4 linked regions of the Caenorhabditis elegans genome follow. The protein of the gene in region 2 purifies or fractionates together with the protein of the main gene of each other region. This does not show direct contact. Each region holds a gene or a part of one and is shown on either strand. Other genes may lie near its edges.

Region 1 (6,277 bases), on a different chromosome or scaffold from region 2:
CCGGTTGTTCCGGAAGAAAAGGAAGAAGCATGTAGAGGCACCGTCGTGCTCATCTCTTTCTTCACGGAGCTCTTCGTGCAGCCACGCAGACTATGCGATATGTGCGGGAACACGGGCGATCTTCGTGAGGTCACGCCCTGACCATCTACCTCCCGAACTCCGCGCGGACACCGCGTGTTACGTCACTGACTATCTCCGCCCGCCTAGAAAAGGAAAGCACCTCTCTCGTTTCGAATGGACAGTAATCCTCACTGTACTTGAGAGAGCCATGGCCGCGGCCGCGACTGGCGCGTCCATTGTTTGCTCGATCACTCTCTCTTACTTTCATTTACTCTCTCAGATTTCAATTTCACTCATCTCTTTCATTTTTCCATCTTGTAGGTTAAGGAAGTACGGGGGGAAGTACCTAGTTACTGCCCCCCAGGTACTGACCACTGTCTCTGCACTCTTTGTTTATCAACACGGAGGTGAGGAAAACCGCTAGCTAAGCGGTGCCAGCATGTTGCAATAGGTAGCAAAAGTGAGTGTACACTGAGAAATGTGTACTTTTCTTTTTCCGCATTTTGACCTTTCTAGGAAATTGAGTACTTTTGGCGTATGTTAAGTGATACTTAGGGAGAGCATTAAACAGGGTTAGTTTTTACTAATTAAAAAAAAAGCTAAACACACATAATAAACAGTTATAATGAGTTCTAAATCATAACTTTACTGTCGTAATTATGCATTTACCGGAGTTGTTTTTCATTTTAACTTTTGAAATTTGTTAACAGGGAGTTTATTTAGTGAAAATGAAAAATTCAAATTAACTTAAAACTCTTAAGCTCTTAGTTCACTTGAGCTGCAGGATGTCCGTTATCATATGCCATTGATGGAGTATAGACAATTGTTGTTTGCATGTTTTGTGGAAGTTGAAGCATACCAGGAGCGAATCCGATTCCAGGATACATTGGTGGAGCTTGTGGATGACCATGAGCTGCACCATGAGCTGGCGAAGGTACTTGGTGGGGAATTGGCATGGGTTGAGGATGTTGAGCGACTGGAGCAATAGCATGATTAACTGGAGGATTTGGAGGTGTTGGTGGTGGTGGACTCTTTTTCTCTCCGGTATCCATTAGCAATGGTTGATTTTGGGTTGCGATGAAGACCTTGTTCTGTGTGGCGGTTGGATTTCCAGTTGGGTGATGTTGACGACGAATCCATTGATCAATGGCAAATCTTGATGAAACGGTTAGGAAGAAGGCAACTAGCATGAACAGGCTCATGAACAAACGAACAGTGTCAAATGTCAGAAGTTGAATTGCCAGTGCAGTGTAGTATACAGTTTTTTCATCGTCCGAGTTCCAAAGGTATGGCGCGAAAAGTTCGGCGATTTTCACATCTGAAAAGAATACGATAAAACCAATTAAAATTCAATTCAGTTGCAAAAACTTACAAAACTCAAACCATTGAGGAATATTCATTACAATTACAGCAGCTGCTCCAAAACCAAGACGGCTACGTGCATCATCGACAACTGGATCACCAGTCAGAACTGCCATGTTTGTTCCGGCTGCTGGTTTTGGTTTGCACATTAATCCAACACACAAGCACTGGAAAACATTTTTGATTTTCTATATTTAAATTTCATTTGAAGGTGGAATTGTTGAATTACTGTCAATAGATATGTGTAGGGGTGTAGAAGTAAAGTGCAAAACAATTACACTGAAAACGATCTTTAAATAGGATCACACCACTTGTTGGCTTCGGTTAAATTTTCTACTATTCTTTGGATTTTTTCACACTTTGTTTAATACCTCACTAATGTATAACTGGGCACTGATGTCCACCTTTAGAGATCAAAAATAGATTACCACTAGAAGCTCGGCAATGATTCCCACTGTGCACAAAAGGTAGGTAAAAAACAGTGCAGAAGCAGGAAGTGGGTTCCATTGGGATGCGATGAAATGATATGAACCAGAGAGTATAGCAGCAAAGAAGAGCACAGCAAAGTAAGATGTCCTGGAAAATATCGGAGGCATCAACTATTCATTTAACAAAAAATGTTATTCAAGATTTTTGCTGTGTCATTCTAACCATTTTCTTACCATGAATCACAAGGATTAAAGTTTTGTCTTTTCCTTGCAATTACAATCAACGCCGAGAGAAAAATCACAGATCCAATGGATGTAGTGAGGACTGCTGTAGTGTAAAACCAGTTGAAGAACATCAGAAAAACCATGTACCACCATCCATAAGCTCCAAGCATGATACTGTAGATAGCCAGTGCAATCTTGAACAGAGATGACAGTCCAAGTGGAATGTAGACAATAGTCAGAAAGACCTTCGTGATATCACGCTTCATTTTCAAAGAAAGCAGAAAGAAAACTGCGATGATTGAAACTTCAATTGCGGAGAGTCCAGCTCCAATTGGTCCTCCGTAAAATGCTTTCTTTGTGTAGAGTTCATCAGGAAAATCACAGCTTATCTTCACTTTTTTCTTCACAGTTGTTGAATTACAAAAAAGAGTGGTAAGTAAAGGAAGACCCGGGACTGGGTCCATGTCCGTCGACATGGTTACACGATCTTTATATCACTTCAATAGTTGGGATTTTATTGAAGCTGAGATTGAGAATAAGAAATGTGGCGAGTTGAGTGGCTAGATTGAACAGGTGAAATGCCATGTTGCTATGGTTACTCGTCACGAAGTTTCAGCTGTTCTTGGACGCAGATCTTGTGATATTGAAATTGGTTGTTGATGTAAAAAAAATTAAGACGGAGACACTAACGAAGCTAGCCAAAACAAACTTTTTACGGAAGGTTGAGCTTAATGTTAAGTGGGACATATACGTTTGATGGTACCTGAAACTACCAGGAAAGTATGATATTTTGCAAGTCTTTGAACTTTTGGGATCATTTTTGCTCTTGAACTCATCCTCTAATATATATCATAAGCAGCAAAAACAAAGTACTCGATTTTGCTGCTTATGATATACTATTTTTTGAAACGAGCGTTTTAAAGAAAATTGTGTACATTGTTTCGGTGCTCAATAGTTTCATTGTTACATACTTTGCAAAATGAAAGGGTTTTCCCTGTCGATCTCGAAATAGAAACCATTATGACGATCATCAATACACAATTGGACGCAGATTGTTAGAGGAATGGCATTGATAACAAAAATAGTCACAATATAAAAGTTGATCGTGTTGGGTAGAATGGGGTAGATACTACACATTTTCTGATATTCATATCATCTGACGAAACAATGCCCGCCAATTACGATTTCACTGACAAACGTATACTTGTCACAGGAGCAAGTCAAGGTAAGTCTTGAGATGTTGAAAAAGTTAAGATGGGTTGTTTCAATACAAACCAAATACACTTGTTTTGGGTTCCATTTAACAAATATGAAATTGAGATAGCTCACTACAGGAAATAGACTTGATATTTAGACAGAAAGTTATGTTGAGATAAGTTTTTGTACCACTCGGAGTTGGTGCCAACTTATTGCCCAACTTTTGACCTATAGTTGAAAACTTCACGGAAAACGTCAAATCTCTTTTCCGACGATTGTTCTATGTTTTGAGTTTAGATATGTTTGCAAGGTTTGAATTGAAGTTGACCAGGTTTTCCCTGGTCTAGTATAAGTTTATTTGTAGTTTGAAGTAAGGAAATGTTAAAAATTATCTGCTCAATTAAAAAAAACCATTAAACATTTGGAGCCACTGAATCAGTTTTCTGAAATCTCATGAAGATTTGTACTTTTTAAGTTTTCAAAATGTTTAATCCATATTAATTTAACATTTCAAATTTAGGCCAATGTGATAAAAGACCGATGGTCTCTCTGATTACTTCCGGTGTAATTATGATCTAGTTCAAATGGAGAGGAAAACGTTGATATACGATAATATGATAACACTATAATCTTTAATCAAAAATTTGTTGTATCATCAACATTTTATCATTCCGTTTGAAAATTATAATTATTTTACGATTATGTTTGAGGAAATTTCTGGCATTGAAAACAAGAGTACATCCTTCCTAGTCGGTAAAAAATATATTACGCGAACAAAGCTAAAAATAGAATAAAAATCGTTCATGAAGACTTCCGATGGGGTGATTGTGAATCATACATCACAATTTATCACATTTGCAGGAATTGGAAAAGAAATCTGCCTTTCGTTGGCCAAAGCTGGAGCGCAGGTTATTGCATTCGCGAGAAATGAAGCAAATTTGTTGAGTCTTGTCAAAGAGACTACTTCTTTGGTAAGTGAAAATATAAAATATTACACCAATCTGATTAAATTAATATTTCAGAGATATACAATAATTCCAATTGTTGGAGATGTGAGTGCCAATGAAGAGGTCCTTTTCAAACTTATCGTACCACATTTCCCAATTCATGGTCTTGTAAATAATGCTGGAATTGCAACAAATCATGCAATTGGACAAATTACTCAACAATCAATTGATAGAACATTTGCAGTCAACGTAAGGGGACCTATTCTCATTGCACAATTAGTTGCTAGAAACTTTGTGGATAGACAAATCAAAGGATCAATTGTTAATATTTCATCACAAGCAGCCATTCGTCCATTGGATAATCACACTGTTTATTGTTAGTTTAAAACTTTACTGAAATAATGTACATCTGAAAGTTCAGGTGCATCAAAAGCTGCTCTTGATATGGTCACAAGATGTCTTGCAAATGAATTGGGATCCCAGAATATTCGAGTTAATAGTGTCAATCCAACTGTTGTGATGACTGATATGGGAAGAGATGTAATAATTTTCAAATTGAAAAGAGAGCATAATTAGACTTTTTAGAACTGGAGTGATCCTGATAAGAAGAAGAAGATGCTCGACAGAATGCCGATCAAACGTTTTGCTGAGGTTGACGAAGTTGTGAATGCTGTCCTTTTCCTTCTTTCAGACAATGCTTCAATGACTACTGGATCCACTTTGCCTGTCGATGGAGGATTTTCGAATAACTAAAGTTTTTAATTTTAAGATTGAGACGATGTATATAGGTGAACAATAAATACATTTATTTACAAGAAGCTCGTAATTTAACATACATAGAAAAAAGATAAATAATATTTACTATTGTTTTGAATCTTTTCTGAACAACTTTTCAAATAATCCCTTTTTCTTCGGTGAGCTCGAGTTGCTCGGTGTTGACGCCTTGTTTGATTCCGAAGTTTGAGGAGGCAGATCTTCTGAATTTTCGGCTTCGTGAAGAATCTTTTTGAAAGTCTCTTCGTCTAAGGACTTCTCGTCTTCATCTTCATCTTCATCTACAGATAATTTTTCGTTTCTTCGATCCCAAAATCCACCAATTTCTTTCGTGATCTTATCATTCCATTGAATAGCGTCAAGAGACTTCTGACGAGCTGAAATTGTAGCAAAATTAAGAAATTAAGCTGGCAGTAAAAAGGTTTGTAAAAGACTGTGTTGAAGAAATATTCAAATTTTCGTTTTAAACTTACTAGATTTCATGAGAGTTCTGAGTTCAGCGGCATCATGTTCTTCTTGCTTCTTGGTTTCAGCTACACGTTGTTCTGCGTCTTGAAGAATACTGGAATACTATTGAATATGCGTAAAACTTTAAAAGTCTACAGCAGGGTTAGTACTTTTTTGGGGTTTGTTTATTTTTGTAATATTTCGACGAAAATTTGTTTTTTTTTTTGGTTTTTGTGACAAAACACCAAAAAACTAATTTTCTATATTTTAAACACTTTTCATATTTTACAAATGTTCTTTAGCAAACTGTGGTTTTCAGTTTTTGTAAAAAGTTCCAATTTTCGAATCCAAAAAAAATTTTGTTTGATTTTTTTTGGTTCGAATTTTTCGGTCCCAGTTCTACAGCTTGCTGACTGAATTTTATTGAAAAGTATTGTAATTCTCAAAAAAAACTGTATTTCAGTTTAATTTCAAATAAAAAATTCACCAACTCACTTATTAATCTCATTCATTTCTTCTTTCGTTGCTTCACTAAACTCTGTGTTTGCAGAAACCATTGATTCTCGTATTGAAGCATCATCTTCTCTATTTTTTTCTTTTTCATCTTCAAATATTTTCCTACGTCTTGCTTCAAGCTCATCCCAGTCTTTATGTTCCATTTCCTCTTCTTTTTTTTCAATTCTTGCACGATCTTCAGCTACTCGCATTAATTCAGATGGATTATTGGCGTTCATCGCAGGTTCCTTGGAAGAAGACTTTAGCCACTGAAATGTTAAAAATGGTATTTAGGCGTAAAAAATCAACTTCTGAGGTGGACGGCAATTATTTTCGGAAACT
Region 2 (5,912 bases):
AGAGCTTAAGCCATTTTCTGTTTTATTACAGACAAAAAAATCCAAAACTAAAGTTTTCAATTACTTTATTTCAGAAATACAAACGAAGTGCTGTAACATTTACATCATCTCTTGAAGCAGCTACATCATCATCTTCATCTACAATACCTCATCAAGATCAGGGTCCAACATTTTCAACACATTCAACAATTGGAAATTCATCGGATACTAGTCAATTAATGGAACAATTGGATCAATCACAAAATGATTCAATCGATATTGAGGAAAACGTTTATCAACCAATTGTAGTTCCATGTGTTCAAGTATCCTGGAATTCAACTATTTCTAATAATTATAAATTATTTCAGAGAGCTCCAGAACTTGACCTTACTCTCATGCAACCAGTGTTTTCCACGGCTTCTTCATACGTTCTCGTTAGTTTTTTCTCCAGAAAAAATCGAAAACGAGGAAACAATTACAAAAAAATTCAACTTTTTATCAAAAAAAGAAGAAAAATGATCAAAATTTAAAGCTATTTTTTGAAATATCATAAAACTAAATTTTTCGATTAGAGTGAAAAATTGAAATACCGACACTCTTGGTGGCAATTGAGTATCTTTTAAATTTTGATTTTTTCCAGAATTCTTCGGCACTGGACCCGACAACTCACCAGGCTCAAAGCAGTTTATCAGCTCTTACAGACTCCAAGTAAACACTAAAGTTCTGTTCAAAATCCTAACTTCTCTGATTTTTCAGATTCCAAACTGATCCGAATAATTTATGGAAAGCAGTTGATGGAGTTTCTCAATTACTTGTTGATGTACGTTTGATCTTTCAAATTTATTCAAAATTAGTTTTTAAAATTGTATTCTTCAGGCTCCATCTCTTCTGGAATCAGATCTTCGCTCATTCACCGATCACTCACATCATAGCAGTTTCCTTCCATTTGTTGCAAATGTAATATTATTTCAGGTCAAAAATTTCCAAATTTTTATATTTTCAGCATGAACCATTACATCGATCAGCATTTCTACCTCCACAATATCATGTTAGTTTCTATTTTCTTTTCTATCAATTATTTCTTTACTTTTTTCAGAAAGACCGACGCATTCACCAACAAATGGACTCTCATCTGAGCGATACTCTGCGAAATTTGTAAAAATAATTTGTATATATCTCAAATTCCCCTAATAACTGCACCGAAAATGAATTACATGTATTTGTTTTGAATATCAATGAATGAATTTTATCAATAAAAATTTTATCAATTGATATGAATCGTTGAATTAGTTTTTAGTTCTCAGTTTTTTTACTATTTCTTTTTTATTTTTTTCATTCTTTTTTTGATATAACATGATTTTTAGAGGCCATACTTCAATGAATGGACAGGTTTCCCTGCTGCTTCGAAGAGCTATTTCGGTGAAAACTTTTCATTTGAAAAGGTTTGAAAATTTACATTTCGAAATAATTAAGAAACAAAAATAGTTACAAAACAATGGGAGTCAACTTCTACTGCTACATTTGACGATTAATTCTTGTGATTCAGCTCATTTATTGCTGTGCCTTTGCAAAACGCTCGCTGACGTTCTTCCAGTTGGCGATCTGAAAGATTTTAAATTAAAAATATTAATTTTGATGGAAAGTGACAACTACCTTCCAAATAGCATTGACATAATCTGGTCGAACATTCTTGTACTGCAAGTAGTAAGCGTGCTCCCAGACGTCAATTCCGAACAGTGGAACAAGTCCAGTTGTTGCCTCAAGTGGATCCTGATTGGCACATGTGGCAACCTTCAAGATCTTTCCCTTTGGACAGTATCCCAACCATCCCCATCCTGATCCTTGAACAGCGACAGTTGATGCCGAAAGCTGTTTTTGAAGATTATCCAGAGATCCGAAGTCGCTCTGAAAATGTTTTAAATTGAACAATGGCCAGTGCTAGAGTTGTTCAATGCGAATTAAATATCAATTTCAAAATACTGTAAAGGCTAAGCCGATTATACAAAATTCTAAAACGTTGAATCATTTTAATCTCAGCCTTGACCGCACAAATCGTGTTCACTACATTTTTAATATCGACTTTTAACTTTAAGTATTATTATTGACTGCCTGATATGACTAATAAACTACCTTAATTGCGGTGAGCAACTCCGCCGATGGTTCTCCTCCGTCCTTTGCCAAATTAGTCCAGAAGATGGAGTGGTTGATATGTCCTCCTCCATTGAACTTGAGAGCTGGCTGAAGAGCGATAGCTTCTTTGACGTTTCCTGCAATCAGTGTTCTTTCCGAAATTCTGAGTAATTAAAAAAATTACCTTTGGAGACCGCCTCGTGAAGCTTTTCCTCAATTTGGTTGAGATTGTTCACATAAGTGGCATGATGCTTTTGATGATGAAGTTGCATAATCTCGTGACTGATTACAGGCTCCAAATCAGCATAGTCGTATGGTAAATCTGGCAGCGAGTGCTTCGAGCGAACAGCAGCGACTCTAAAAATTTCAATATTATAGTTTAGGAATCTATTTGCCTAAACTGATATATCTGAAAAAAAGGTGAAACTACAGGTTAAACCACAATTCGCAAGTAAATATAACAGCAACCATAAATAACAATTGAACTAACCCTGTGATCGGTTGAACAAGCTTTGAGACACAGCGAACGGTGTTTTGAAGCATTTTCGGCTGCAAATAATTAAAATATTCAATAGTCAAATATAAATTTTTACAATTCGCAGAAACATATCAAGCTGAAAATACGATTTTTGGATGAAAAATAAAAAAGTAAACAAAAAGCGCGAACACTGAAATTCGAATGCGCGTAAACAAAGTACGCAAAACAAAAGACAGTGTTTGCGGAACATGATACACCAGATTTACCGAGCAAAGTGGTTTTTGAATAATATTCTTTTAGCTCGTTTTCAGTCTAAATTGTTGCTTTTTGAGCCGAATTGCGTGTTTCTAGTAATTTTTAAATTATCGTAATATTTATGGTAGTCTAATATACATTTTTGATGTTTTAGTATACCCTATAATTGTCATTTTCTCTTCGGAAAGCAATCCTTCAATTCTCACTTAATTTTCGAGTAGATTTTTTAATTGCAACGTTTTTATTCAGGTTACTTACTTACTTACTTACTTTGATACTTTGATGTCCGTTGGGTTCAAGTTGCGAGGCAACTGCGGACAAACTCTTTCCATTTTTCACGGTCGGTTCGTGCGATGGACAGCCATGGAGCCTTCGGAGTGAGCATTCCTAGTCTTCTTCTCCCAACAACGACTTGTCCCGACATGGCGGAATTGTGGTGGAATTTTGCGTATTCTTCGTCGATGTCCTTAGCCCATCTCTTCTTCTGTCCTCCAACGGCACGTTTCCAATTTTTGTTGTGGCTCGGGTCCCATTCCGTGCAGATTTTTGTCCATCGGTTTGGATCTCTCCGTAGAATGTGTCCTGCAAATCTTGATTGTTTTGCAAGGAGGTAACGTTCCAAGTTGAAGTTCCAGCCTCGAATTTCTGCAGCGTCGATGAGACCGGTGACAGTTCTTTTGAGTCTCAACGTGGATCCAGCATTACAAGTCCAAGTTTCACTAGCATACAGGAGAGCTGGTAGCACATTTTGCTTGAAGAGGATGATTCTTTCCTTGTTTGGCATGATTCTCAAGACTTCTTTGATTCCAACCAGAGCACCCCAACCTGCTCTTATTCTCCTCGAGATCTCTTCGTCAATTGAGCCAGAAATGTCGATCCAGCGACCCAGATAGCGGCAACCAGGCACGGGAATGATGGGGGATCCGTTGAAAAGGACGTCTTGGCTCCGGCAAAACTTGTTCTTCAGAAGAACAGTCTTTGACTGATTGATCTTGAGTCCGTAATTAGAACTTATTCGGTCCAAAATTTCCAGTCGTTCTTGAACTTCTCCCGGTGTGGAACATGTCAGGACTACGTCATCCGCAAATTCGAGTCTTCTTATGTGTCTGCCTTCCACACTGATGCCAACTCCAGCGAGCTCGTTGTCGCAATCCGTCAGAATAGCTTGGAGAGCAGCACTGATGTTTTATATTTATGGTAGTCTAATATACATTTTTGATGTTTTAGTATACCCTATAATTGTCATTTTCTCTTCGGAAAGCAATCCTTCAATTCTCACTTAATTTTCGAGTAGATTTTTTATATGCAACGTTTTTATTCAGGTTACTTACTTACTTACTTACTTTGATACTTTGATGTCCGTTGGGTTCAACGTTTTTATTCAGGTTTGTCTCCACCTCAACTTTCTCCTTCTCCAACTCCCTACCTTACAAAATGCCTGTTGACCGTAGCCTCTACATAATTCCAAACGAAACACCAGTTTGTCAGCTAGATGCGGCTGATGCTTTCAAGACGTTATCTGAGAAGGAGAAAAAGTATTCTCATTACGTGGCCAAGGCATCTTTTGACGGTGCTCTTGCAGTTTTCTTGCAAGTTTCACCGGAATCTGCGCCGATTTTCTACGTTTTGTACAGACTTTTCAAATCGGAGTCTGTCGAGCAGTTGAAGGGTATGAAAAAAGCATTTACAGTACTGCGTCCTTTATTTAATCCATTTGTTTGCAGAAAAGGCACTTTCCGTAGGATTCACCGATGCTGAATGGCAAGCTTTTCTTGTTTATGCTGCAGCTTTTTATTCCAATTCTGGAAATTATAAGGGATTCGGAGATACAAAAATCGTCCCAGGTGTCGAGCAGGTAATTCATTTGAAAATTCGGACAAGTGTGGAGACATAATTTTAGACCAAAATCCGTGCTTTACTCGAGAAGTCTGCCGTTGGAACTGATGAGAAAGTTATGAAGACATGGGAGTCCGTGGAGAAGGTCATTGGATCGTTGGAGTCTAACGAGCTTCAGTTGGGATTTGGTGATAAGGTTCGTATATCACGGGCATACAGCAAAATGATTAAGTATTTTTTGAGGGAGTCACTTGCTATCATTCTTCAAACGTCACCAAAGCTGACGCCGAGAAAATTGATAGATTCTTCAAGCAACGGAATGTTGAGTCATGGAATTCTCGATTATTCAAAGAGGTTGGATCCGATGGAAAGACCACATACACCATCAAATTAGCATCTTCTGAAGAGGGAATCGTGTCAGAAGCTGTTGAATTTGAAGGAGACGTTGTACAAATTGTCAGAGGAGACTACGCTTTGATTATGAAGAGAACTCATGAATGGTTGGACAAGGTCAGAATGGGGAAAATTTGAATGGTTTATTGTAAAGTATAGGAAAAACATCCATTATTCGTAACAATCAACGTCAGTGAATTCTAGCTGGGAAGTTGTCATTTAAAATATTTTATTTTCAGGCCATTCCAACTGCGGCCAACAAGAATCAGGAAGAAATGTTGCGAAAATACGTTGAACATTTTAAAAAAGGAGATATCGCGTTGCACAAGGACGGTTCTCGGTATTGGATTAAGGACGTTGGGCCAGCTGTCGAGAGTTATATTGGATTCATTGAAAACTACAGAGATCCAGCCGGAACTCGCTCAGAGTTTGAAGGTGTTTTGTACATGAAATTTCAGTTGTAAAAACGGCAATTCCTAGGTTTTGTGGCTGCTGTCAACAAGGAGACTTCCAAAAAGTTCCAGACATTGGTTGCAAATGCTGAGAATATTTTGAAGCGTCTTCCATGGGGTACTGACTATGAGAAGGATACTTTCCTCAAGGTAACGATTTTATCAATTCTTTAAAATTTACTTTTACTCGAAAGCTAAACGTTAATTTTATAGCCCGACTTCACTGCCTTGGATGTGATCGCGTTTGGAAGCAGTGGAATTCCAGCAGGAATCAATATTCCCAACTGTAAGTGTTCGAAAAAAAATTGACTTCTATTCATAAATTTTAGACGATGATATTCGTCAAAACGAAGGATTCAAAAATGTCTCACTTGGAAATGTAATCTCAG
Region 3 (5,898 bases), on a different chromosome or scaffold from region 2:
AGAAGATACTAAAAAAAAAATATCAGCTGCCATTCTAAACTTCAATATCTCTAAAAAAGCGAATAATGCGATAAGAAGTGAGAGAAAGCGGATCGTGGCAACGATACTCAAGACTCGGAAACATGTGGAACGATTCAGAAGACTTTGGAAAAAAGAGAAAAAGAAAAAAGAACACTCTGAAATTCTATACAAGAAAAGCCAGCTGAGCAAACAGGAGACTATTGCAAAATTTCCTCCGATGTTTCGCTGATCTTTTGGCAATCTCAAAAATTCGGAATCGAAACGAGTACGCTTCTCTGAGGCCCTGTATGTTCTACAACAGATGACAAAACTGGAAGATATGCTCCATTCATAAATGGCTTCTTGAAATTTGTTCGCGAACGGAAGGAACAGACGTTTTGCAATCAACTTTCTTCATTTCAAACGTTGGTATTGAAGAAAAAATGTGAACTGACGCATTCACAATTGACGAAATTGAAGAATCACTTTCTTGGATATCTGGGATTTGACATTTTGCCAGGCATGAAGCCCGGATTGCAGTTGGCCACCAAGTTTTCCATGGCTTCTGTCTTCAAAGTGAAACTTCATGTCAATTCAGAAAAAACTCCAGTGACGGTCTGCCAATGCCACGATATTGCACGAGTGTTGAAACATCGAATCGAACTTCTTGCGAAATCTCGGATACTTCTTGTCAATGATATTGGTGAGCAGGACAAAATATGGAATCCACTCCTTCTCGTCCTTTGAAGGCACGATTTGTTCTCAAGAAACGTTCCGAATAATACGATAGTTCAACCAGCCTGTACAATTCCTGATTTAATATTTTTAGCTCAGGTAAAATAATATATACGGGGAAGCATTCTGTTGAATTTGTGCCCTCCGGTTCAAAATACCATAGTCGCAGTTATATAAACGATTTTTTGCAGAAATCTGGCGATAGAAACTGGACAAAGACGACGAATTTCCCAAAATCCACCAAAAAGTCCATATTTTATCAATATAATTATCAATCGATTCTTTTTTTTTAATTTTCTCTTATTTTTCACAAATTTTCTCAATAAATTATAATTATGTTTTATTCAAAGCAGTTAAGACTCATTTTCTCGCTAGGTACAGTAAGAAGTGCACAATGTCGTAAAATGCGGTGTATTGTGTGCAAACACCGTTTTTTCGCATTTTTCTCGGCCCTCGTTCGAAAAAAGTCGCAGTGCTTTGGTGCAGTAGCCGTGATATCTTGATGTACTCCATTCTCTTGATTTTTTACAAAACATTTCTCCGCCTGGTATGAGCACAGCCATGCTTGTGATTACATTTAGAAAAACCATATACCAACTGATCGGACATGCCAAAGAAGAAAACAATATTTTTGAAGATGCATAGCTCTCTGATAATATCCTTAGTCTTCTCAGAGACTATTGAAAAATATATTCTGAAAAGATAAACATTTATAGGCACTTTCCAATTGAAAACTCGCTGTTCAATAGATCTCAAATGGCAGAGAACAATTTTTAGGTTTTTCGGTGGGAGACGAAGAAGAGGAAAAGAAGAGTCACCATTCATCACAAGAGAATAAAAGCAGAATGAGACAACAATAATCCAGGACCTATTCAAAGAGCACCTTGAATATCGATTGCCAGTTGACCCCTGAATCATTCTCTTGGGTTTTTAGCCCCCTTCTTTTCTCACCTCCATTGTCTACATCATAAAGACCAAAAGGATATTCTACGTCAATAGGAATTGTCAGAATTATCAGTTTTGATATCAAAAATTGCCAGCTTTAGTACAGTAGAATAACTATGCGATTCATGCTGCTTATTATTTATTCAAAATTTAAATTTTAACCAACTGTGAGTTTATTTTATAGAACATTTTTCGAAATAAAATTCAAAAAAATAAAAATTGTTATTTTTCAAAATCTTAATCTTAATTTAGCACCATTACCGACAGGCAATGATAGAACACCAAACCGGACTGACCAAGTGTCGTACCAGTTTCGAGCAATCAAGTATTGAGAGACTGATATTCTTGCTGATACTATACTCTTAAGATATGAAACGATATCTACCCCTCTAGCCCCCTACTCGTGCGCCCTCAGTTACCTACCTACCCCGTTACCTACCCTACCCTACCTACCTACTCAGTCTCCTACCTACCCCGACCGTATCATATCTTTAGAATATAGTATCAACAAGAATACCAATCACCCAACCCCAATCACTCGAAACCGTTAGGCACCAGGTTAGCCAGTCTGGATTAATCGAGAGTAAACCACTTGACTCCAGACAACTACATCTTATACTTACTTACGTCTGGGGGACAATCTTGGGATTCTCAAGATGACTTCCATTACGAAGTCTCTTGCAATAACCAATTACCACAATTTTGGAGCAGAATTAAACTCACCCACCAGTACAGGATCAAAGATGAATAATGAATGAGAGGCCCTCCTCTCATTGTTGTGGGCGGGGTCAAGGGGTCAAAGTTTTTTGAATTTCGAAATTTTGAAATTTTGGAATTGTTAAATTTTTGGAAATCTAATTTTTGAAAGAACCACATTTTCCGTTTACAATTTGAGTTCAATTCCGCAACCCCGTCAAATTTAAGAAGAGAAAGAAAAAAAACACAACGTGTTTGCACCTGTAAGGTAGTTTTTTTTTGTTGCCTTCGGCGTTTTGATTCACATGAAAGTTTCTACGGAAAAACTTTCATTGCATAACGATCTTCATATCTTGTTTCTGGAAACGAAAATTTCCAACATGAAAGAAACCCGACGCTATTTATTCTCGCAACACAAAAATTTCACATTTAAATAACCGCGGTTTTTCTCGAACAGCATATTTGACGCGCATTGCTCGTCAAGTTTGATGCGTGCACACTATTTTGCTGTTGTTTTTTTCTTTTTTCTCTAAATTTTCTTTACGCTTTCGTAGTTTCTATAGAAACGATTCTCCACTCCCGGTTTTCTTCCGATTCTCAAAATTAATTAAAATTTAGTTATTAAAAATCCTTTTTCTTGAAATAATCGTTCAATTTCGAGTTTTCAAGAGTGGAGACGTTGAATTTGTGAGCCGCTTATTTTTTCTGTGTTTTTGTTTTGTGGTTTTTAATCAGTGTCATAATCATACTTTCCATTGTTTCTTTATTATTCAAAGTTGTAGATTCAGTATTTTAGATCGGTGATGTTTATGAATCTTCTCACTCAGGTCTCCAACGCGATTTTTCCGCAGGTCAGTGCTTATCCGAAACATTCGTCATTCGCAACTTGGGCCTATTTGATCTATGGCGTTGTGTTGTTGCCTTTACCTTAATTATCATCATTTTCATCAGAAACCCACAAAAACTAGAGACATAGCTACAAAATTCTGCGACCGAGAGGCGGGTACACACACAATGTTGTCTATTTCATCTCGCTCCACCTTCTCTCTCTCTCTCTCGTGTTTACCATTTCTTTTTTAATTTTGCATCTATCGACTGTGATCTGCCTGTTTTTTTCTAATTCTAAACTTTTTGCCGTGATATTCCTTAGAGTGTTCCCTAGAAAATTCGTTGAATTTACAGGTCGAAGCCGCTCAAAAAATGTCGAACCGTGCTGTCGCTGTTCTTCGTGGAGAAACTGTTACCGGTACTATCTGGATCACACAGGTTAGCCGAGTTTTCCGCTTAAATCATTTGTATTCTTTTTCAGAAGTCCGAAAATGACCAGGCAGTTATTGAAGGAGAAATCAAGGGACTTACTCCCGGTCTTCATGGATTCCACGTTCACCAATATGGTGATTCCACCAACGGATGCATTTCTGCCGGTCCACACTTCAATCCATTTGGAAAGACTCATGGTGGACCAAAAGTATGGAAATTTTTTATATCGCTTGAATTATAATATTTTTTCAGTCCGAGATCCGTCACGTAGGCGATCTAGGAAATGTGGAAGCTGGAGCCGATGGAGTGGCAAAAATCAAGCTCACCGACACGCTCGTCACGCTTTACGGTCCAAACACTGTCGTTGGCCGATCTATGGTTGTTCATGCCGGACAAGACGACCTCGGTATGAACAATTCGAATTAAAAATCAATTTAGTAAACTTTCCAGGCGAGGGAGTCGGAGACAAGGCAGAAGAGTCCAAGAAGACTGGAAACGCCGGAGCTCGTGCTGCCTGCGGTGTCATTGCTCTCGCTGCTCCCCAGTGACTACCTGAATCGCGTCTCTGAATCTCCACACAATTCCTACTAAAGACAATTTTTCATTTCTTGCTTTGTCGTTATATTCTTAAGAATCCCGTTGTTCCTACTCCTACTACTGTATATTTTCACATAAAATTTCTTCAAAATTTCAAATAAAGGTTGTAGTTTCCAATTTCTATGTTTTACAAATCTCAATGTCTCTGCTCATTATATCAATACTTCACTTTTCAGTTTTGTTACCAAACTGCCATAAATGTTGTGCCAGCCGTTAAACTATCAACAAGTTCTGACGGAGAAGGGCGATTTTTCGAGCAGTTGAATAAGAATCACCTGATAATGAGGCTATTTCAAAAAACGTTTAAATATTATCGCTTTTCCCTTATTTAAGGCAGACAAAAATCTTTGAAAATATAATAATTTCTATTTTTTAATGCATTTAGTAAATTTTATTTCGAGGTCGTTCGTTTCAATTGGCATTTTCACAATGCTTCTCTTCTTTTTTTATCAGTTCAATTGATAGCGACCCGTAAAAGAAAATCACACCATTTTTATAATAGTGGACTGCAAAAAATTCGTTTCTTTCTGAATAGAGCCAGTTTTTGTGAAAATTCCTTTTTTTCAGTTTATATAAAACCTCAATTTTCAGAATGAGTGGGATTCTGGAGGTTTATGACGCAAAGCGTACGGACAATCTCATCATCACCCTCGAGGGAATTTCTGGATCCGAAACGATCAAAGCTATCAAGAAGCGAATTGCCCAGAAAAGTTTGTGAATCGAAATTTATGATTTATTAGCTAAATAATTTCAGAGCTGAAACTCACCGAAGAACGTCAGGCTCTCCGTGTCGAACCAAAGGGTAAACCATTGGCTGATGACCAAAAACTCTCCGATCTTGGACTTTCATCTCAAAAAGCAGTTTTATATGTAAGAGATCTCGGACCACAAATCGCCTGGAAGACTGTCTTCATGGCTGAGTATGCTGGACCTTTGTTCGTTTATCCGCTTTTCTATCTTCGACCAACTTTCATTTATGGACAAGGTGAGCCGGATTAATATTATTTCACACAATATCTTACATTACAGCCGCTGTCAATGCTACCATGCATCCAGCAGTACAAATCGCCTTCTTTGCATGGAGCTTCCACTACGCCAAGAGATTGTTCGAAACTCAATTCATCCATAGATTCGGAAACTCGACTATGCCACAGTTCAATTTAGTCAAGGCATGTTTCAAAAATAAAAATAAAAACAATTGAGTAAAAAGTAATAAGGGACACTAATAGTAAGTTGCAAAAGTTGCGTTGATGAAAAAATTATTTTACGCTCTACGGCAATTTTCAATCTGAAATATAGCAACAAAAAAAAACTAGTAAAAACGTTGAATATGCCTAAAATTCAAAGTTAGAATATTTCGTACAACTTTAGGTAGTTTTAGTAGAGAATTTTGAAACGGACAAGATTAAAAATAAAATTCACTAATCGATAAACAAATTTCTATTTCCTGAATTTTCAGAACTGCTCCTATTACTGGGGATTCGCTGCCTTCGTCGCCTACTTTGTCAATCACCCACTTTTCACACCACCAGCTTTCGGAGATCTTCAGGTTTATTTCGGACTTGCCGGTTTCGTGATTTCGGAGTTTGGAAATCTCTCGATCCACATTCTTCTCCGCAACCTCCGTCCAGCTGGAACCCGCGAACGTCGTATTCCAAAGCCTGA
Region 4 (6,641 bases), on a different chromosome or scaffold from region 2:
GACATGCCCAAAACAGCTATGGAAAGAAGTAAAAGCGAGACACTTAATCTTGCTGATTTATCATTTCTTTCTTTATTTTTTCAATTTTTCACACTATTTTACTTGTATTCCTATCATGAGCAACTTTCAAAAATCGAGCATCAGCGGGTTTGAGTCGAGCCTTCAAGTGGTTGAGTCGTCACTTTTTTCGAGCCAAAAGTCTTTCAATAAAGAATTCATTTTTCAAGATTTCAACCGGAATATCACAAAAAATAAAAATTTGCAATGAGACAATTTGAAAATCAGGAAGCTTCGAATGCAAGTGTGATTGAATATGCTTCTTCTTGTACATAAGTCTCCGCATCTGATATATACAACAATGTCTGAAATACTAGAATGTAAATATTTAAATGATTAGTTAATTACCTCTATATTCTTTTGAAGATGTGTATTCTTCACAAAATACATTTCACATGGAAGTTTTCCCATAGGTGGAACTGACAACAGACTATCCGTAATTTTTACAATATCAGAATTTGATGTGGTGATTCGGAATGTCTTTGGTAAACCATATGGGTTTCTTATCGGGATTCTCTGAAAGAAGGGTTTTCGTCAAAAAAAGGTTATGACCCCAGATTGGTTTTTTTTCTGTAAAATCATTTAAATAAGGATTTCTCATATAAGCTTAAATTATACAATATCCAAATAGGTTTATAACCCTAGAAAACGCCATATTCTAAAGGACCTCACTTTGTTTTTTTTTCAAACTATGTAAAATTGAAATCAATTGAGATGAACAGTTTCTATAATATTAATGATTGTTGTAAGAGCTTTAGACTATTCTACCAGGAAAATAGTTGTACTTCGTTATTTTATACATAAACTTCTTCGACAAATTTTTCACACTCTAAGAAGTTGAATATTTTTCATTGACTTATTAGGACTGTCAGGGAAATGCTTAAAGTTCTCGGAAACCAACACAGAGAACACACATACATTTGAGTTGTTCAGTCCATCGGTTTGTTTTCAAATTGAAAAAAAACCTCCTTATAGTCTAAATTTGAATTTTGTTATCTGTTGTTTCTCTGATTCATTTCAAATTTTAATTATTTGCTAGCATGACAATGAATAACAGTAAACAAAAACATTCTTACTGTACACAAATTTTGAAAAAATGTTATTTATTTTAATGTTAGATGTGTTTAGTTTGAACGGATTTTTTACCTTATTCTGAAAGTTGTCTGTTGCATGCTAGCCAAATAAAGAAGTATCATGAAAATCACAGTTTCATGCCCCAAAAAAATTAAATTTAGTGAGCGATTTTGACTTTAAAAAATTCTTGTTATTTTAGTTAAAATAATAGTTTGAAATGTTTGGAAATTACTGTCGATCCAAACTAAAAATCTTTAACATTCAATATTATATAAATTCAACAAACCTTTCTAATAGCTTCATCAGATGATGGAATTTGTATGACAAACTTCTGCGTAATCCGTGGCGCTTCAGACTTTCCGTAAACCAAAAACCCTCGTTCTAACTTCAATGTATTGGTATTCACAACAGAAACGACAAGCTTCTTTGTTCCTGAAACAACACGTGAGGTCATGAAAACGCGGGGGTACTAATCGGATGAGTTTGTGAAATTTGGAATTTTAAATGACTTTGTGGATATTTCTCGCCTGGATGCGCCTAGTTTGCACGTGGAATCAACTATTTTTGCAACTATACTGAACATTTTCTTCATGGCTCTGATGTATGTCTAAGAAGATTAAAATGCAAGGAGAGATAACATTTTTGCGTTTTTTCGACCGTATCAATTTTGTGAGCTTCATTTTTTGGATGTATTTGTTCGTTTTTTGAAATAAATGTACTTATGATCTTTCCTAACTTTCGATTTATTGTCATTTCTTTATCAATATATATATTTCAAACAATTTTTTTGCTGAAAAGCAATATTCGGAACAATTCGATCATAATTGCATTCTGCAAGTTAAAATTGTGTCCCTAATGTAAGTTTCCTGACGACTTAAGAACATGACAATTAAAATTAAGCAATAGATGTATGTAGATTATTTTTTGATTATAATGGGTTGAATAAAAATGTATTCAGTTACATGGATTCAAAGAGTAGTAGTCATAAATAAACTCGCGAGGTGCTAGGTGAGGTAGCATATTCGAAAATACATAACTTTGTAAAAAATGCTAGAAAATACCACAAACATCATCGATAAGCTACCAGCGAATAGAACATTGGCGGGCACTACTGTTTTTTGCTGCACTAAAATTTCAAGACCGATCGACAAAATTCTCCGTATTTGTTTCCAAATTCGGGAACTTCAAACCCAGTATTCGTTTTAGATAAAAAATCATTTTTTTCCGTGGGAGTAAAATGTTAACTGATAACAAAACTTCATACAATTAACAGTCTTTCGACTCCTCCCCACTTTCACTTTCTATTTAAATCCAACTACACCGCACTTTTGCTCTATTTTGGAACATACTCGTCTCAATTTCGACGACGTCAAAAGAATCAGAATTTCCGTCATCAGATAGCGTGCGATTCTTGTATGTAACCTGATAGACCTGCATGAGAACTCGTCCCCTTTTTTGCGACTTTTCTGTCCGGTATTCACTTTTTCAATTTTTTGCAGAGATTTCTAGACGACGTGATGATGTTGATACAAGGACTTGTCATATTTCTTGCCGTGTTCAATAATATAGAATCTAGGAAACTTGAGTTTGTACAAGCACTGTGGCGACATGGAGACCGTGCTCCTCTACACTTACCGTATCCAAATGACCAGTACACAGAAAAAGCTTGGTCAAGGGGATGGGGGCAGTTGACTTCGGTTTGTTTTATTAAACTTTTAAAGAAATGTACTTGTTGAATATTTGTGAGTTCTTACGCGATCTTCTATCATATCACAATAAAATTATAATTACATTTAATTTGTTTCAGCTATAAAGAGTGACCTAAAAAACGGAGCAGAAAAAATGTTTAACATCTCCCAGTGACGCTCAAATAACCAAATATCACAGGAAAAGTGTCAAAATTTTTGGTTATAAATTTTGGATATAGTTTTTTAGAACTGACTATAAATTATGAAAATCTCAAATATCTTATAGTGTTTTAATTAGTTTTTCTGATTGATTTCAAATACACGTTGACAAAACCTTCACTGGCGCTACTTTGCCTTAAAAACCTATTTATTTTAGATTGGAATGCAACAACTTCACGAGCTCGGAGAGTTCTTCCGACACCAATACGTGGACTCTTCATTTATTCCGTCTAATTTTTCAGTGAAAGAAGTAAGAAACTCAATACCATATCTGTAAATTAAACTCTTGAAATTTGTAGGTCTACCTGCGCTCTTCCGATTCTGATCGTGCTTTGGTATCTGCACAAGCATTTCTTTACGGGCTATACCCAGCTTCTGGTGGTTATCAATGGAGCTCAGATATAGACTGGCAACCTCTTCCAGTACATGCATCTACTCCAGGAGAACCTGATTTGGTAACCGTTGATTTTTAGATTTAAACTAAAGTTGTTCTTATGAGGTTTTATCACAAATGCGTCAGAAAGACAAAAGAGATTAGAAAGTACGTAAGAACAACTGATAAAACATTTTGAAGCCCAATTTCTATTTCCGGAGAGTGACTATTCATTATAGACTACATTTACTAAGATAAACTGATTCAGGTGTGCAAACCAACTGCGATAAAATGTGCTCGTCATGAAGTTTTAGTGGCTCAAGGCGATCAAGAATCAAACGCTTATTATAGTGTTAAGTATGCAGACTTCTTCAGTGAACTTTCTCAAACTACAGGATTCAAACACTGTTCATATATGGATATTAATGGATTATTCGATATACAAAGAGAGTTGATTCATAACATGACTGCAAAACAGCCTTATTGGGTTACACAAACCTGGCCTCAATATGACAATCGTACTTCAATGGACATTATAACTGAAATGAGGACCGTTCGAATGATGAATCTATTTAATTCAGAAGAGAAAGGAAAACTTGAAGGAGGCTCCGTTCTTTACAATTGGATTCAAAATGCAATTGCAGTTTCTGAGAGCAGAAATGATCAGAGAATGCTTCTTTATTCTTCGGTAAAATCTAATGGAAACTGAGAAAATCTATTATATTAATTTCAGCATGATGGTGTTCTTCTTGCACTTCTCAATGCATTCCGTGCTTCAAATGAGATGATGGTTCCTTATGCGGCTGCACTTATCATGCATGTTTATTCAGACAACGGAAAATTTTATTCTGAGGTTAGTTGTTCAATTGAAATAAGTTTTATTAGGAAACTTGGTTAACAAAAAATTATTTATATTTTCTTTCAAATTAATGCTGATGGTTCATTTTAATTTATTCAGCTCTACTATCGAAATGAGACTACATCGGATCCATACAGAATTCCGCTTTCCCGATGCCCGGAACCTTGTGAAGTGTCGCAATTGGCAGTGGCTTTTTCAAATATGACAGTTACAAACTACTCGGATATGATGACGGTAAGCATAATCTTCTCATTATAGACCAAAGTTCGCATATTTTCAGTTATGCGGGACTCCTCTCAAAGCATGTGGAAACTCGTCTTACACGTTCAACTCTTTATCATTTTTCTTACCATTTCTCTTAGCGAGTTTATTTTATTCAAAATGAACTAGATCTTAACATTGGTTCCCATGGAACCATTAAATAAATTATTGCTATCTTACATTTTAAATGGTTAATGTTTTATAGAGCAAATTTAGAAAACCCAAAAGAGTTGAGTAAAGATTGACGACAAATATCCTTGGTGTATTTTTCTCTATTTTTGTGTGGAATAACGGTATTGCTCTTTGCACTTTTAGATATTGTAAATAATTTTCTGAACATTTAACGGGTAAATAGAAACGTTTTCATTTTTGATTTGACAGTACGCAAGTGCTCATATGTATATCACATTTTGTTGTATTAAAGGCTTACCAATAAAGTTTGGTGTAAAATCAATTGTGGCTGTAGGTGTTCTTTCAGTGAGCACAGAATCCACAACTTTCATACATCCAGATGCTGTATACACTTTCAGTAAATCATCTGGCACTCCATCATGCTCGCTGAAAATAAACAGATAAAGAACGTAATTCCTATCATTTTGTTTATTGTTCATCTATTCTTCATTTTTTGTGTGTTGTTTTCTTCTGAATCCCCACCAGATGAGAGTGTGGGAGAGAAAAAGAGCGACCAGGTGTTGGAATCCAAGCATTTTTATTTTTTGTTTTCTTCCCGCGGGGACCAAACAACTGGCACATCGTCCTCCTCCGCCTTCGCAAAAGATTAGGAATCAAGAAGAGGCATGAAAGATAGAAAATAGAAGAGGACAAGAGAGCACACAAGGGGCACATCTGCCATTCAGAAATACCGACTCAGGCGCCTGCCAAATGGTTTCCAGGTTTAGTTTCTTTTAATTTTTGTTAAAACTTGAACTTTGTAGTTCACACATTGGATATCAAAAAGTGTGATTTATTTTTTAGTTTGTGCTACTTCTATTTTGTAAGGTGTGGAAGGTTAAAAAACTAAAATTAATACAAAGATCGTCTTATAAGCGCAATGTTGATGGTACCTTTTATTTATTTCGGGAAATGCAATGAAACTCCTATTTATGTATTTTGATCAAATTTAAGCTCTCACTTGTAATTTTTTATTATTTCAATCTAGTACTAGTACAATACTAAAATTATCAATTACAATTACAGTATGACCGACTACGCCTTGGTGCGCTCTCGCAGCGCACTTGTCCGTTCTCGATCGGTTGAACCGAGCTCTCGTCTTTACGTAAGTTCACTTAAATCCTGATTAACTATGAACTGATCAAAAACCTTTCAACTTCTGGTTTATCTCTCTCAATAATGTTACACAATCATCACTTTAGCCCCGTTGGCACCAGGTGCCAATTAAGAGATCACGCGTGAAGGTAACAAAAACAAATGCATCATTTTTCCAGGTCACCCGCACTTCATCAGTCCCAGACTTGACCGCTCACTTCCGTTACTCGGATAAGTACCGTCCACAATGGCATACTGTCTACCAATCGACTCCATACCGCTGGCGTCGTGACTGGGATTTGGTATGAGATGGCTTTCTTTTATTTTTTGAGAATTAAAATTTCAGTACGATGACTACTGGTATGACAAATACTATTACTTCTCTCCACTTTATCGCAGTACCTACTATCCAAGCAGAAGATATTCCTACAGTGATTATCTTCCAAATCCATATTATTGGAACAACTATGGATCTTATTGGACTCGCTACAAGGGATATTGGTATGACTATGACTATCCATCCTCTTACCGTCGATACACTGATTCTGCTTTCAACCGCTACTTGAACTACACCTACACCCCGTATAGGTATGCATAGTCTACAAATTGAATAAGATAAATATGTTTTCAATAGCCAAGTTTTCAATCAAATCAAAATTATTTAAACCAAAGAAAAATTCAAATTTCAGATCGTACTTGATGGACTCATTGAGCACTTCCCTTTCTCGTGGCCTTTCCATGTACAAGGCAGGTTTGTACCGGTATTGACCACTGTCTAAGGTAGTGTAGAGACAGGGCAGTGCCCATTACTTTTACCAAATACAATTGTTGCTTTATTTTAGAA

The links.
Region 1: the proteins of sod-2 (region 2) and dhs-21 fractionate together in Caenorhabditis elegans (co-fractionation; one large-scale study listed by BioGRID). This does not show direct contact.
Region 3: the proteins of sod-2 (region 2) and sod-1 fractionate together in Caenorhabditis elegans (co-fractionation; one large-scale study listed by BioGRID). This does not show direct contact.
Region 4: the proteins of sod-2 (region 2) and pho-8 fractionate together in Caenorhabditis elegans (co-fractionation; one large-scale study listed by BioGRID). This does not show direct contact.

The regions. Positions count from the first base shown.
Region 1 is NC_003283.11:12,730,527-12,736,803, reverse strand, and holds dhs-21 (L-xylulose reductase), read left to right. Parts: upstream 1-3,158; 5' UTR 3,159-3,242; coding exon 3,243-3,300; intron 3,301-4,133; coding exon 4,134-4,243; intron 4,244-4,294; coding exon 4,295-4,595; intron 4,596-4,640; coding exon 4,641-4,759; intron 4,760-4,804; coding exon 4,805-4,972; 3' UTR 4,973-5,037; downstream 5,038-6,277. Other genes in the region: PAS domain-containing protein cky-1, read right to left, coding at 1-53; xbx-9 (XK-related protein), read right to left, coding at 825-1,378, 1,433-1,589, 1,851-1,998, 2,085-2,551; zfyv-19 (FYVE-type domain-containing protein), read right to left, coding at 5,081-5,370, 5,467-5,555, 5,936-6,204. UniProt on the Caenorhabditis elegans protein: Catalyzes the NADPH-dependent reduction of L-xylulose, D-xylulose, L-(+) erythrulose, D-erythrose, D-threose, L-ribulose, 1,4-dibromo-2,3-butanedione and 2,3-heptanedione.
Region 2 is NC_003279.8:8,431,296-8,437,207, reverse strand, and holds sod-2 (Superoxide dismutase [Mn] 1, mitochondrial), read right to left. Parts: upstream 2,659-5,912; 5' UTR 2,653-2,658; coding exon 2,600-2,652; intron 2,467-2,599; coding exon 2,294-2,466; intron 2,247-2,293; coding exon 2,110-2,246; intron 1,885-2,109; coding exon 1,633-1,884; intron 1,582-1,632; coding exon 1,531-1,581; 3' UTR 1,422-1,530; downstream 1-1,421. Other genes in the region: F10D11.2 (uncharacterized protein), read left to right, coding at 75-302, 348-413, 620-687, 736-799, 856-936, 983-1,027, 1,076-1,138; dpt-1 (Dipeptidyl peptidase 3), read left to right, coding at 1,357-1,421, 4,228-4,511, 4,567-4,697, 4,743-4,874, 4,922-5,188, 5,311-5,506, 5,552-5,673, 5,737-5,809 and 1 more. UniProt on the Caenorhabditis elegans protein: Destroys superoxide anion radicals which are normally produced within the cells and which are toxic to biological systems.
Region 3 is NC_003280.10:6,971,162-6,977,059, reverse strand, and holds sod-1 (Superoxide dismutase [Cu-Zn]), read left to right. Parts: upstream 1-3,172; 5' UTR 3,173-3,179; coding exon 3,180-3,227; intron 3,228-3,558; coding exon 3,559-3,642; intron 3,643-3,685; coding exon 3,686-3,844; intron 3,845-3,888; coding exon 3,889-4,042; intron 4,043-4,086; coding exon 4,087-4,184; 3' UTR 4,185-4,354; downstream 4,355-5,898. Other genes in the region: C15F1.8 (Ribosomal protein L29), read left to right, coding at 1-250; putative very-long-chain enoyl-CoA reductase art-1, read left to right, coding at 4,826-4,943, 4,988-5,218, 5,263-5,402, 5,693-5,898. UniProt on the Caenorhabditis elegans protein: Protects cells against oxidative stress by converting superoxide radicals to hydrogen peroxide. Required for normal brood size. May be involved in regulating mpk-1 phosphorylation downstream of phosphatase ptp-2 during oocyte maturation.
Region 4 is NC_003283.11:11,830,997-11,837,637, forward strand, and holds pho-8 (intestinal acid PHOsphatase), read left to right. Parts: upstream 1-2,622; 5' UTR 2,623-2,648; coding exon 2,649-2,828; intron 2,829-3,195; coding exon 3,196-3,288; intron 3,289-3,337; coding exon 3,338-3,493; intron 3,494-3,679; coding exon 3,680-4,099; intron 4,100-4,144; coding exon 4,145-4,264; intron 4,265-4,369; coding exon 4,370-4,504; intron 4,505-4,550; coding exon 4,551-4,655; 3' UTR 4,656-4,712; downstream 4,713-6,641. Other genes in the region: col-158 (Nematode cuticle collagen N-terminal domain-containing protein), read left to right, coding at 1-32; nphp-4 (uncharacterized protein), read right to left, coding at 282-362, 406-573, 1,418-1,563, 4,962-5,089; R13H4.2 (uncharacterized protein), read left to right, coding at 5,414-5,424, 5,729-5,807, 5,977-6,099, 6,144-6,385, 6,487-6,548.